Oryzias latipes: one gene and its partners. The protein of the gene in region 3 purifies or fractionates together with the protein of the main gene of each other region. This does not show direct contact. Links are inferred from orthologs where the notes say so. Each region holds a gene or a part of one and is shown on either strand. Other genes may lie near its edges.

Region 1 (3,656 bases), on a different chromosome or scaffold from region 3:
TTACACCATATTTGTTGGTGCTTTTAGCCTAGAATAGATGTTGTGCTTATTACTGTACTTTTCATGGCAGGTTAAGCTGAGTAGCAAGTCTGGGCAGAATGTCGATATTGTGTGGACAGAAAACAACCTCCTCATTACAGCAACAGGGGAACACATGATCAGGTTGGTTTTTCACGTGCTATGTTTACCTCCATACTTTGTTTTGGCTTAAGTAATCATTTAATTTAGCTTCTTTTCATTTTTTTTAGGCTATGGGACTTGGATAGAGATGACAACTACATTTTGTCTCTCGATGAGACATTGGGATTTGATAGAGGCGAGCTGATCAATTGTGTGTCATACTGTTCAGCAAAAGGTAACCCATTAATATTTGTTACATACACACTAATTCTATAAATTATTGCTTAATAATTTTTCTTTGAAAGGTACTTAGAACCTGAGTTGATTGAGGTTTTGTGTTCATATTTTTGAATCCTAGAAATTCTTGCTGCTGGTACCTCCAATGGACGCATAGCAATGTGGAAGAAGTTCAGCAGCAGATCAGACACCAAGACTCAGTGGAAATTACAGACACCCACTGAAATAGAGGGAAACGTTACACAACTTCAGGTAGTGTCCAAACAAACTTTTTAGCAACACACTCATCTGACATGGAATAATAAACAGGGATGTAGCATGGGCAACATTCCAAAAGTTTAACCAGTCCTTTAAATTTGCAGTGGGGCTGCAGCTTGAATCTGTTGGCTGCAAACAATTCAAAGACGGTGCTAATCCTCTGCGAGCATTTGATGTCTGCCCACTTCAGTCAGCAGGTGGCAGCAGTGCAGCTCAGCCCAACACAGCTCAGCATCTCTAACTTTACCACAGGGGTGCACCTTGCTCTCCAGTCTGACATGCACATCAAAGGAGTTTGTGTCACCAAGGTAAGAGCAAAGATGTCAGGCTTCAACTGTATTGCAGACAAAGCTGATTCTATCATCACTTCTTTGTCTCACCTGCAGGACTCTGTAATAGTCTGGAATGGCAAATTGATTAATGTGTACGAGCTTTCTGGGACAGCTTTGCACAACACAGGTAGAGTACAAACCAAAGCAACTAATGAGCGTTCCTATCGGCATGTACAACAGTGCACTGTTCTGTTTCTATGTGTCTGCCTCACCCATTCTCCCCTTTCTACTCTCTCTTCGTAATTTCCCAGGATCCTTTCTTTGCGATTCCCATGTGGTAGCCGTGCATGACGAGAACCTCTACACAGTAGAACCAAACAAGTTGCAAATCCGAACACTACAGGTCTGAGTGCACCACTTCAAAACGGTTGCCTAATAGTGAATGAACAATGATTTAGAATTGATGTAGCTCAAAACTTGTTTGAACATATTTACTCTGTTTCCTTCAGGGCACGGTAAAACAGCATTTATATTTCTCGAAGGCAGAAGGGAACCCCATGCTACTCAACGTGTGCCAGTCTTACCTGGTGGTGGGTACAGACACGGCACACATCCAAGTTTTTGACCTTTCCAGAAGGTACAAGTATCTTGCCTCCAAAATTCCTTTTAGAAACAAAAGCACTTCACCTGCATCGATGTCTTGACTGACATTTCATTTGTATGTTGTAGAGATGCCAAAGCTAATTGCAAGACTAAGAATTTGGCAGACCACATTGCTAATCTGGGAGCCTTGAGGTCCGTCAAGTGTAACTCCAGTGGCTCCTACATCAGCATCTTAATCTCTCAGGTTTACGAGAACATTCCCTTTTCCACTTAAATTTAAGAGGAAAAAATATCTGGTGCTTTTCTCTGAGGATTGTAACACCTTTTTTACAGGTTAATGGACGACTGGACCACAAGGTGTACTTTTATGACATCGAGATGGACACTTTGACACACTTTGACTTCTTTACTGGCAGACATTCCAGCAGTATCTCCCAACCAGAAGAAAGTGAAAAGTATATTAATGGACTTCTTTTTTTAAATTCATAGTTTTTTTTTTTTTTAGATTATTTTATTTACAAATATCTTCGTGTTTGTATTATTTAGTCCCAGACAGGAGTCTTCTCACAGTGAAGTAAGTGGTCGCTACCCCGTGTCTCACTTCTGGGATGAGAGCGAGCCTCGTCTTTTTGCGTGCGAGACGGTGCCAGTCAGCTCGGAAACTTCATCAGAATCTTTCTTGGATATGGTAAGAATAAGTTAGTCAGGTGCAGATCTTTGCTACTAAACAATAATAAAAATGATCAAAATATTGCGACTAAATTTACACAAGCAAAAGGTAAAATTTATTAAAAAGTAATGTGAAGGTCCACAATCAGTCAGCAGCAGTCAGGTTGTTTTGCTTGGAGGCTGTTTGTTCCTTTTATTCTTTTTTCTCCCTGTTTAAAAAATATAATAATAATACAAATAATAATAAACAGAGATTCTTTGTTCATAAAAAATCATTAGGGCCTAAAAAAAAAGAGAAAGAAACAAAATGAATACCCCAAAAGTCCACTTCCTGGTTAACACACTGGGGAAGGTTTATAGCTGCAGACAAGTAGCCTACATACAACACACAAGGAGGGGTTAAACCAATTCATCAATAACAAAAAATTATAAAGGACAATTAATAAAATAAAAGTATAATTGATCATTAATAATTAATTAATAAAATATACTGCATAATTTAAATCTCCAACATAAATCAGCTAAATTAATGAAACCTCTTGAGACCTGGCATCCACATATGAAGACATCATATGGGACTGTGGAATGAAAAATCAGACAAGACCGCGGGTCTCAAGACTGTAAAACACACTTTATAGTGTCCATAATAAAAGACTTGACTTCCCTGCTTTGGTACATCCCAATCTTCTTCAAAATGTGTCAATGGTAGTCACTTGAAGTGAAAACTCCAAACAAAACAAAGTAAATAAAAGGTTTTTTACTAAAATAAATAAAATGTGTGCATCTATTATAATACATTTTTTTAAAATTATTTGCGTTTTTATACCTATTATCTATGTAATAGGGTTTAATACCCTATTATTTACCTCACTGTTTGGTAGATGCAAAACATAAACATTTCTCTCAATAGCATAGATTAATGTTCAATCACGAAACATTTTACTACATGATTGCTTTTAGAGGCTTTTAAAGAATCTATTCTCTATGAAATTGTATTTATTTACTCTCCAAGAGTGTTCAGTTTTTTATTAGGACCACTTCAGTTTAGGAACATATGACACCTAAACATCTTCTCTTCTCTCAGGCGGATGTGTCCGTTGTGACACTGTTTTGTACTCAGGAGGATGGACTCCTTCTCCACGATTACTACCTGAAACCTTTAGGCCTGCAGGCCCTCCTCGCTCTGGATGTGCCTTATTATTATTACAGCTGTAAGGTGAGGACAGAGATAGATCTGCTCCGCTCATTTTTATGTTGACATGTTTGTTGGGATTTTGTTGACGCCCACCATTGTTTTTTATGTGAAATTGTATGTTTGGCCCAACACACCCTAGCTGTTATTTCGGAAAGGTGGTGTCTTTCGACCGGATGTAAGTCTTTTCCCTGAAAAAATGTTCAAAAAAGCTTTAATGTTGCCTCCCAGCTTCCAGCCCCTTCAACTGTGTACACCTTGTGATGCATTTATTTAAAAAAGGAAACTTTAAAGATGATCACAAA
Region 2 (3,041 bases), on a different chromosome or scaffold from region 3:
AGCATGTACACCGAGCTGCAAGCTCACAAGATCAAAATCCCTGCAGAAATGGCCACCAATCTGATGATCCTGCACTCCTACCTGCTGGCCAGGGTAAGGGGTATGGGTTTCTGTTCTTTTGGGGGGGGGGGGGGGGGGGCAGTTACTTACACACTTAGAAGTCTGATCCATCAAATGAAATCATTATTTTATTTTCTTCCTGTGACCCCCAAAAGGGACAAAACAGGTTTAGAAGATGAATGAATTTTATAAAACACAGACTTTCTGTAGCTTTTTGTTGGAATTCCTATTCTTTTAGTTCACCTTCAACTTATGTTGACTTTATTTCACTAGTTAAAAAAAATTTTGTACAGAAAAAAATAGATTTTGATGGAAATTTGAACAACTTTAATCAAAGCGTCTCAAATAGTAAATTCAATCAGAAACACTTGAATCAAAGGATTCAGTTGAATTGGCAGATAGGCAGTCCTATTCTATTCCTACATGGAATGAGTCATTTTTCTTTTGGGACCCAGTGTTGCTTAAAATGGAGAGACATCAGAATAAAATTTGTTTACTTGTTTATGAGGAATCAAATCAGCACAAACCAGAAAAAGAGTCAATTTCTTTGGAGCAGCTACCAAACTGTGATGATGTTCTTTTGATGTAAAAGAGTTAACCTCTCTTACTGTCGGAAATGCATAAACTAAAGCAAAAGCTTCATTAAGATCTGGTTAGACTCCATCTTTACTGGAATTAATGCAACTAACAAGATAGCAGCTGATTCTGAGCTGCAACCCCTGTGTTTTAGCTGCAGTTATAATGTGTTTTTCTACAGATCTATACAAAGAGAGGAGATCACCTGAAGGCGGCGCGCATGCTCATCCGTGTCAGCAACAACATTAGCAAGTTTCCAGCACGTAAGTCAGATAAAAAAGTCACTGACAAATCTAGAGGCTGCTGTTTAGCTGATGCTCTGGTCTGTTTGTGTAGACGTTGTTCCAATTCTAACGTCAGCGGTAATCGAATGCCAGCGTGCCGGTCTAAAGAAATCCGCCTTCAGCTTTGCTTCCATGCTGATGAGACCAGACTACAGAAACGATGTGGACCCGAAGTTCAGGAAGAAGTTTGAATCCCTGGTTCGGTGAGCAGCCGAGTGATTACGGTGTAAAAGTGTGATGTTGGTACCTCGTCCTCCATGTGATGTTCCTCACACTTATTTACTGGCTGTCCTGCCCGTCTCATCTGCAGACATCCACAGATGTCCGAGCTGGATGAAGAAACCACTCCGTGTCCTTACTGCGGATTCCAGCTGCCAGAAAATGAGCTTCTGTGCATCGCCTGCAAGAACAACATCCCCTACTGCATCGCCACGGTACAAATGCCCCATGCCACTTGCTTTTGCTGCTTTAAGACAGTTCTTATTAAATAAATAAATAAATTCCCTTCAGGGTCGTCATTTAATAAAAGAAGACTGGTCTACTTGTCCGCACTGTGACTTTCCTGCACTCTACTCACAGTTTATTCTGTAAGTACCACTTGAAAACAATGTTTTATTTCCTCCAGTTGTGAGTAAAAACAAAGTCGCCATGAAGGTTGTTGGTGAGTGTAACTGATCGTCTTTCCATCTATTTATAAAAATCCCAGTGCTCTTTTAATTATACTTGTGCCGTTTTTAGCCAAAATAAAAAAATCCTACATCGTTTTGCCGGACGTAGTTTCCGCAGAGCGGCAGGGGCACATTTGAAAATTCACCTGAGTTGTGGGCGGGACGGCTGGTAGGGAGCAACCCCGCTCCTCTTCCCAATGCTGAGCTCTCTGAGTGGGGAGCTTGTGGCCTGCCCAGCATATTTTCTACATCACCAAAAGGCTTTTTTTCAAACTGCATTTTTTGTCTGCTCCTGATTCACAATGCTTTGAATATACAAGTATTCAGAAATACTACCTCAATTATTATTTTTAAATATCTCCTCCATCATCAGAAAAACGCTACAAAAGCAAGTTAAAAACAGTAAAAATAGCATTTTTATCAGAGTGGGTCTTTAACATTTTATTCAAAGCATCTGCACAAATCTTAGCTTTGATATTTTCATTTAGCATAAGCAAAACAAAAAATGATGTAATCTGTCAGGAATCAGATTACCTCTGACCTGCTAAATGAGGACCATTTTTTGGAAACCCTGTTCTCCTCCTTTTAACCGCGCTCGTCTCATTTTCTGCCACGGACTGTGCTGCAGGTTCCTGGAAACAGAGACAGCCTGTCCCATGTGTTTTGAAAACCTGAGTGCGAAGGAGCTGAAGAAGATCCCGGATTGTTCCAAATACCTGCAGACCAACGAGCTGGATCCATGACAAGACAGGATCAGTGCGTCTCAGCTGTAGGACTTCTCAAATGCTATATTTTATACATGTACTCAAATTGTAATAAATCGCATTTCAAAATTTCACAGCTGCCCCTCTTTATTTCAAATAGGAATGGTCCATTGTTCTGTAAAACTATTTTGAAGCAATAAAAACACAAACCATCATTAATGTGCAGAAAGTTATTCTTACAAAAAAATTTTAATTTACAGGTAACTGTTGCTTCTACAAAGGTCAGACATGTTTGGAGTGAAAGTGAACAGTCTTCATTATTTACATGCAGACAGCAGGAATGCAAACGGAACGACAGCAGAAAGGCTCCTGATAGGACAGATAACTGCAGCTGCGCAGACATGATGATGAGCGGATCGCCTACTTATTATAGAGACGTCTCAGGTTTAAAATTAAAAAAAAGAAATGGTGAAAAATGCTTCTGAAGTCATTGTTCTGAATAGCTGCTGAGTTTAGGGTCAGTTTTGTTCTTTGTGGTTTTTATTAAAGGTGCAGAGGAACAATTGTCCATGAAGGAGGATCAGAGGAGTTCACTCTCCTACAAAGGGTCATTTCTTAGCCTTTCCTTTTCCTTTGCCCTTGCCTTTGCCTTTTCCAGAATCTTCCTTCTGGGTTTTGGACTCTTTAGTGGTTTTGGTCTTCTTCTGCTGCATGACAGGACACACGGGTCACCCTGCAGCAATGAAGCC
Region 3 (3,656 bases):
GAAGGTGCCGCATGGTTCTTTCACCGCTAGAGGTGCTCTAACTGGAATTAGAATCAAAATTAAGATTGGCAAAAAAGAATAGACTACACTACTTTTTCTTTAGCAGAAAGAACACGCACGACAAATCACTAACTGGTAACTAGAGTCACTTGTTGTTTTAAACACAGGAGAAATTAAGGTAAATAAATACTGGTTGTTTTCTCTTGGTTCTGTTCAGTTTTAATCAGCAAAGTTGCTGCAGTGTTAAAAGGCCCTGTTCGGAAAGAAACTGTTCAGGTACATACATGTACATTTCAGTACAATATCATCCTGCACATGCAGCAAATATCTAATTCTTCAACATAGATATCTGCAGTATATCTTTTTTTTTTGATTTATTTAATAGAGCGGATGTGGCTTATAAGAGAGTTTTTTGAAATGTATATTTTTGGAAACTTAATTGAGCTAGGGACTGTGTTTATGGTCATAATTGGCCTACAATTACTCTACACACTACTGTTTACACTACAACAGTAAGTGATACTGCTTTGCCTTTAATGCACCGCCTCCCCTTACTCATTATTTCATTTTTATGTCTCAGACTCATGTTTTGTAGTCAGTATTATTGATTTAAATGAAATTTCTGAAAGAAACAACAGCAGACATTGTTTAGAGTGACAGAAAACATGCAGGAATTATTGTGGAAGCTTCTTTTTTTTCCTAGTGAAGAAAACCAGACAACTGAGTGACTTAATTTGATGCTGATCAAAAGGACTTTGAACTCTCATACAATAGAGACTATTTAAACTAAAAAAGTCTTTTTTTTTCTATCCGGCTCAAAGGGATGCGGGAATGTAATGAACACTTTGAAGTTTGTGTACTCGGAAATTATTAGGTGTTGTCTGAAGTCTCTGAGCAATAAAGTTTTTTTTTTTGAGTCTGATGTTCTCTTTGTCGTCCTTAGATCGGAGCAGACAGGACTTTGAATTATGACCCGTGTTGTGTCAGCTACTTCTCCAAGGGGGAGTACATCGTGATGGGCGGCTCGGATAAGCAGGTGTCGCTCTACACCAAAGACGGAATGCGATTGGGAACCATTGGAGAACAGAATTCCTGGGTGTGGACATGCCGAGTTAAGCCCGAGTCCAACTGTGTGGTAGGTTCACAGCTTGTGAAACCATATGCTTGTAAAAGCCCTTTCACCCCCTCATATTATAGTGAGAAAAGAGACATCAGTGAAATGCTACACAGAAAAATGCAGCCTTTTTTCTGATGTGACAACACAGCATCCCTTTCGTGCTCAAGTACTTTTCTTTCCATATTAACACTTCAGCTGCTTTTCTTCTCACTGACAATGATGAGACATGCAAGCTAGAATTGGATTCTAGCAGATTTATTTTTCTTTTTTACCTCTGCTGTGTACATCCTCTGACAACAGGAACATTTTCTCACTCCCTCAGTCTTTTCTTAGAGGTGTTAATAAGATGTACCGCTACATTGTTGTCTTTTTATCTAGGTGCTGGGCTGCCAGGATGGGACCATTGCTTGCTATCAACTTACTTTCAGTACAGTTCACGGCCTCTACAAGGATCGCTACGCTTATAGGGACAGTATGACTGACGTCATCGTCCAGCACCTGATCACAGAGCAAAAGGGTGTGTTTTTTTGAGATTAGGAGTCTTTGCCATATACCTGTGTTAGTATAATTTCACAGTGACATGATCTCATCAAAAAAACTGAAAAACATCTAAATTACAGTTTTGGAAAAAAAAACTTGCATCAAAATCTTATGAAGCATCCAATCATAAAAAAAAAAACATGATTTGAACTTCCCCCAAAATAAGGAAGTTTTTTATTTGGGTGAACAATACTAGTTTATACAGTCAAACCTCCTGCTTTCCCGTTGATGTATAACGTGCATTTTATTTTTTGATTAGTGAGAATTCGATGTCGTGAGTTGGTGAAGAAGATCGCCATCTACAGAAGTCGCCTTGCCATCCAGCTACCTGAGAGGATCCTCATCTATGAGCTCCGCTCCGATGACTCCTCTGACATGCACTACCACAGCAAGGAGAAAATTTGTCAGAAGTTTGAGTGCAACTTGCTGGTTGTGTGCTCCCAGCACATCATTCTGTGTCAGGTCAGAAGTGGCCTGTATTATTTTTATTTTGTATTCAGTCAAAAAGTAAAGTAAGAACCTGTTTTTGTCGTTATTAGAGCTTGTGTTTTTATTTTTCAGTATATTTTATTTTGAAATGGTAAGGCTTCTCAATTATAGTTCTTGAATCATGTTACTTGGTGAGACAGGTAAATTAATCTGATTGACATTTTATTGTGCAGAAGTCTGATACTGCTGCACCATCAGATGAATGCAGAGCAAATCAGTTTTAGTCATTAAATACCCAGCGACACTGCGATTCGATCGCTGTGTGCCCAGATGGTCCACTTTCTCGTGTCTCTTCTTACCACAGAGAGTAAGACCGTTTCAATAAGAGGGAGGAGCCAAAAATGGATACTTTTTAGGGTTCTTCTTGGTGTTAAGTGGCTGACAGAGGCTGTCAGCAAGGAGCGGCAGCTTTTGTCGGTGACAGAGGTGCTTCAGGTCTCTGCTGGAGCCGCTCATGTTTCATCTCTCAGACAGTTTGTAGACATTATATAGTGGCTGTGCTCACACAGGCTGTTAATGCTTTCAGTAGATCAGATTATTGTTTATGGCTCTGCTCTCTGAGATTGTTCCACCATATGCAGCCTGTAAAAGAACAATACGTCTGAATGTTTTTTTAACCTTTTGTGTATAATAAAAACTTTAAACAGATAATTTAATGAAAAAACAACATAGAATATGAGCATGTTTGACCAGCCAGTGTTGTATTTGCAGGAGAAGAGACTCCAGTGTCTTTCCTTCACCAGCGTCAAGGAAAAAGAATGGGTGATGGAGTCTCTAATTCGCTACATTAAAGTGATTGGGGGTCCACCAGGCAGGGAGGGCTTGCTTGTGGGATTAAAGAACGGGGCTGTAAGTATTGCCAAATGGGAGTTATTTTGGTAAATGCTAATTCACACACTGATGGCGGCGCCGCTGCCAAACACTGGCGCCAACCTCCCACCAGAGGCAAGGTGGGGTTCAGTGTCTTGCCCAGGCGGGAATTGAACCTGCAATGTTACGATCATGAGTCGACCGCCATACCGCTGCACCACGGCCGCACATCACACACAAGTTTTGCATGAAACCATGCTATAGTGTGTTTTTTTTTCTTCTAGATCCTGAAGATATTTGTTGACAATCCATTTCCCATCACACTGCTGAAGCTGTCAACTTCCGTGCGCTGTTTGGATATGAGTGCCTACCGCAAGAAACTGGCCGTGGTTGACGAGCACAACACTCTTCTAGTGTATGACATCAACAGTAAAGAGCTCCTCTTTCAGGTTTGGAAGCTGTAGATATAATGATGGGGGAGGAGAACAACTTGAGCATGCAAAGAAATGTGTAGATGAACTGAGTGAAACCAAAAAATTCACATATTTTGCATCATTTTTTTACAATTCTCAAATGTTAGAATGGATTTCATGTTAGTTTTTTGTTTTGCAAACACCTTCCTATTGTTTATTTGTGTGCTTTCCTACAGGAGCCTAATGCTAACAGTGTAGCCTGGAACACCCAGTGTGAGAACATGCTG

Evidence for each region.
Region 1: the proteins of ift122 (region 3) and ift140 purify together in Homo sapiens (affinity purification with mass spectrometry; 4 studies listed by BioGRID and IntAct, counting the BioPlex papers as one, with this or other methods). This does not show direct contact. The link is inferred for Oryzias latipes from reciprocal best matches to the Homo sapiens genes IFT122 and IFT140.
Region 2: the proteins of ift122 (region 3) and wdr19 purify together in Homo sapiens (affinity purification with mass spectrometry; 4 studies listed by BioGRID and IntAct, counting the BioPlex papers as one, with this or other methods). This does not show direct contact. The link is inferred for Oryzias latipes from reciprocal best matches to the Homo sapiens genes IFT122 and WDR19.

Annotation. Positions count from the first base shown.
Region 1 is NC_019877.2:9,013,099-9,016,754, reverse strand, and holds part of ift140 (intraflagellar transport protein 140 homolog), read left to right. Parts: intron 1-70; coding exon 71-162; intron 163-248; coding exon 249-355; intron 356-478; coding exon 479-609; intron 610-719; coding exon 720-923; intron 924-1,001; coding exon 1,002-1,074; intron 1,075-1,198; coding exon 1,199-1,290; intron 1,291-1,396; coding exon 1,397-1,524; intron 1,525-1,616; coding exon 1,617-1,734; intron 1,735-1,823; coding exon 1,824-1,945; intron 1,946-2,036; coding exon 2,037-2,178; intron 2,179-3,243; coding exon 3,244-3,375; intron 3,376-3,656. UniProt on the Homo sapiens protein: Component of the IFT complex A (IFT-A), a complex required for retrograde ciliary transport and entry into cilia of G protein-coupled receptors (GPCRs).
Region 2 is NC_019859.2:13,014,189-13,017,229, forward strand, and holds the end of wdr19 (WD repeat-containing protein 19), read left to right. Parts: coding exon 1-93; intron 94-817; coding exon 818-899; intron 900-972; coding exon 973-1,123; intron 1,124-1,230; coding exon 1,231-1,354; intron 1,355-1,430; coding exon 1,431-1,507; intron 1,508-2,216; coding exon 2,217-2,331; 3' UTR 2,332-2,424; downstream 2,425-3,041. Other genes in the region: rfc1 (replication factor C subunit 1), read right to left, coding at 2,901-2,999. UniProt on the Homo sapiens protein: As component of the IFT complex A (IFT-A), a complex required for retrograde ciliary transport and entry into cilia of G protein-coupled receptors (GPCRs), it is involved in cilia function and/or assembly.
Region 3 is NC_019865.2:17,185,255-17,188,910, reverse strand, and holds part of ift122 (intraflagellar transport protein 122 homolog), read left to right. Parts: intron 1-943; coding exon 944-1,135; intron 1,136-1,495; coding exon 1,496-1,634; intron 1,635-1,916; coding exon 1,917-2,119; intron 2,120-2,857; coding exon 2,858-2,995; intron 2,996-3,240; coding exon 3,241-3,405; intron 3,406-3,605; coding exon 3,606-3,656. UniProt on the Homo sapiens protein: As a component of the IFT complex A (IFT-A), a complex required for retrograde ciliary transport and entry into cilia of G protein-coupled receptors (GPCRs), it is required in ciliogenesis and ciliary protein trafficking.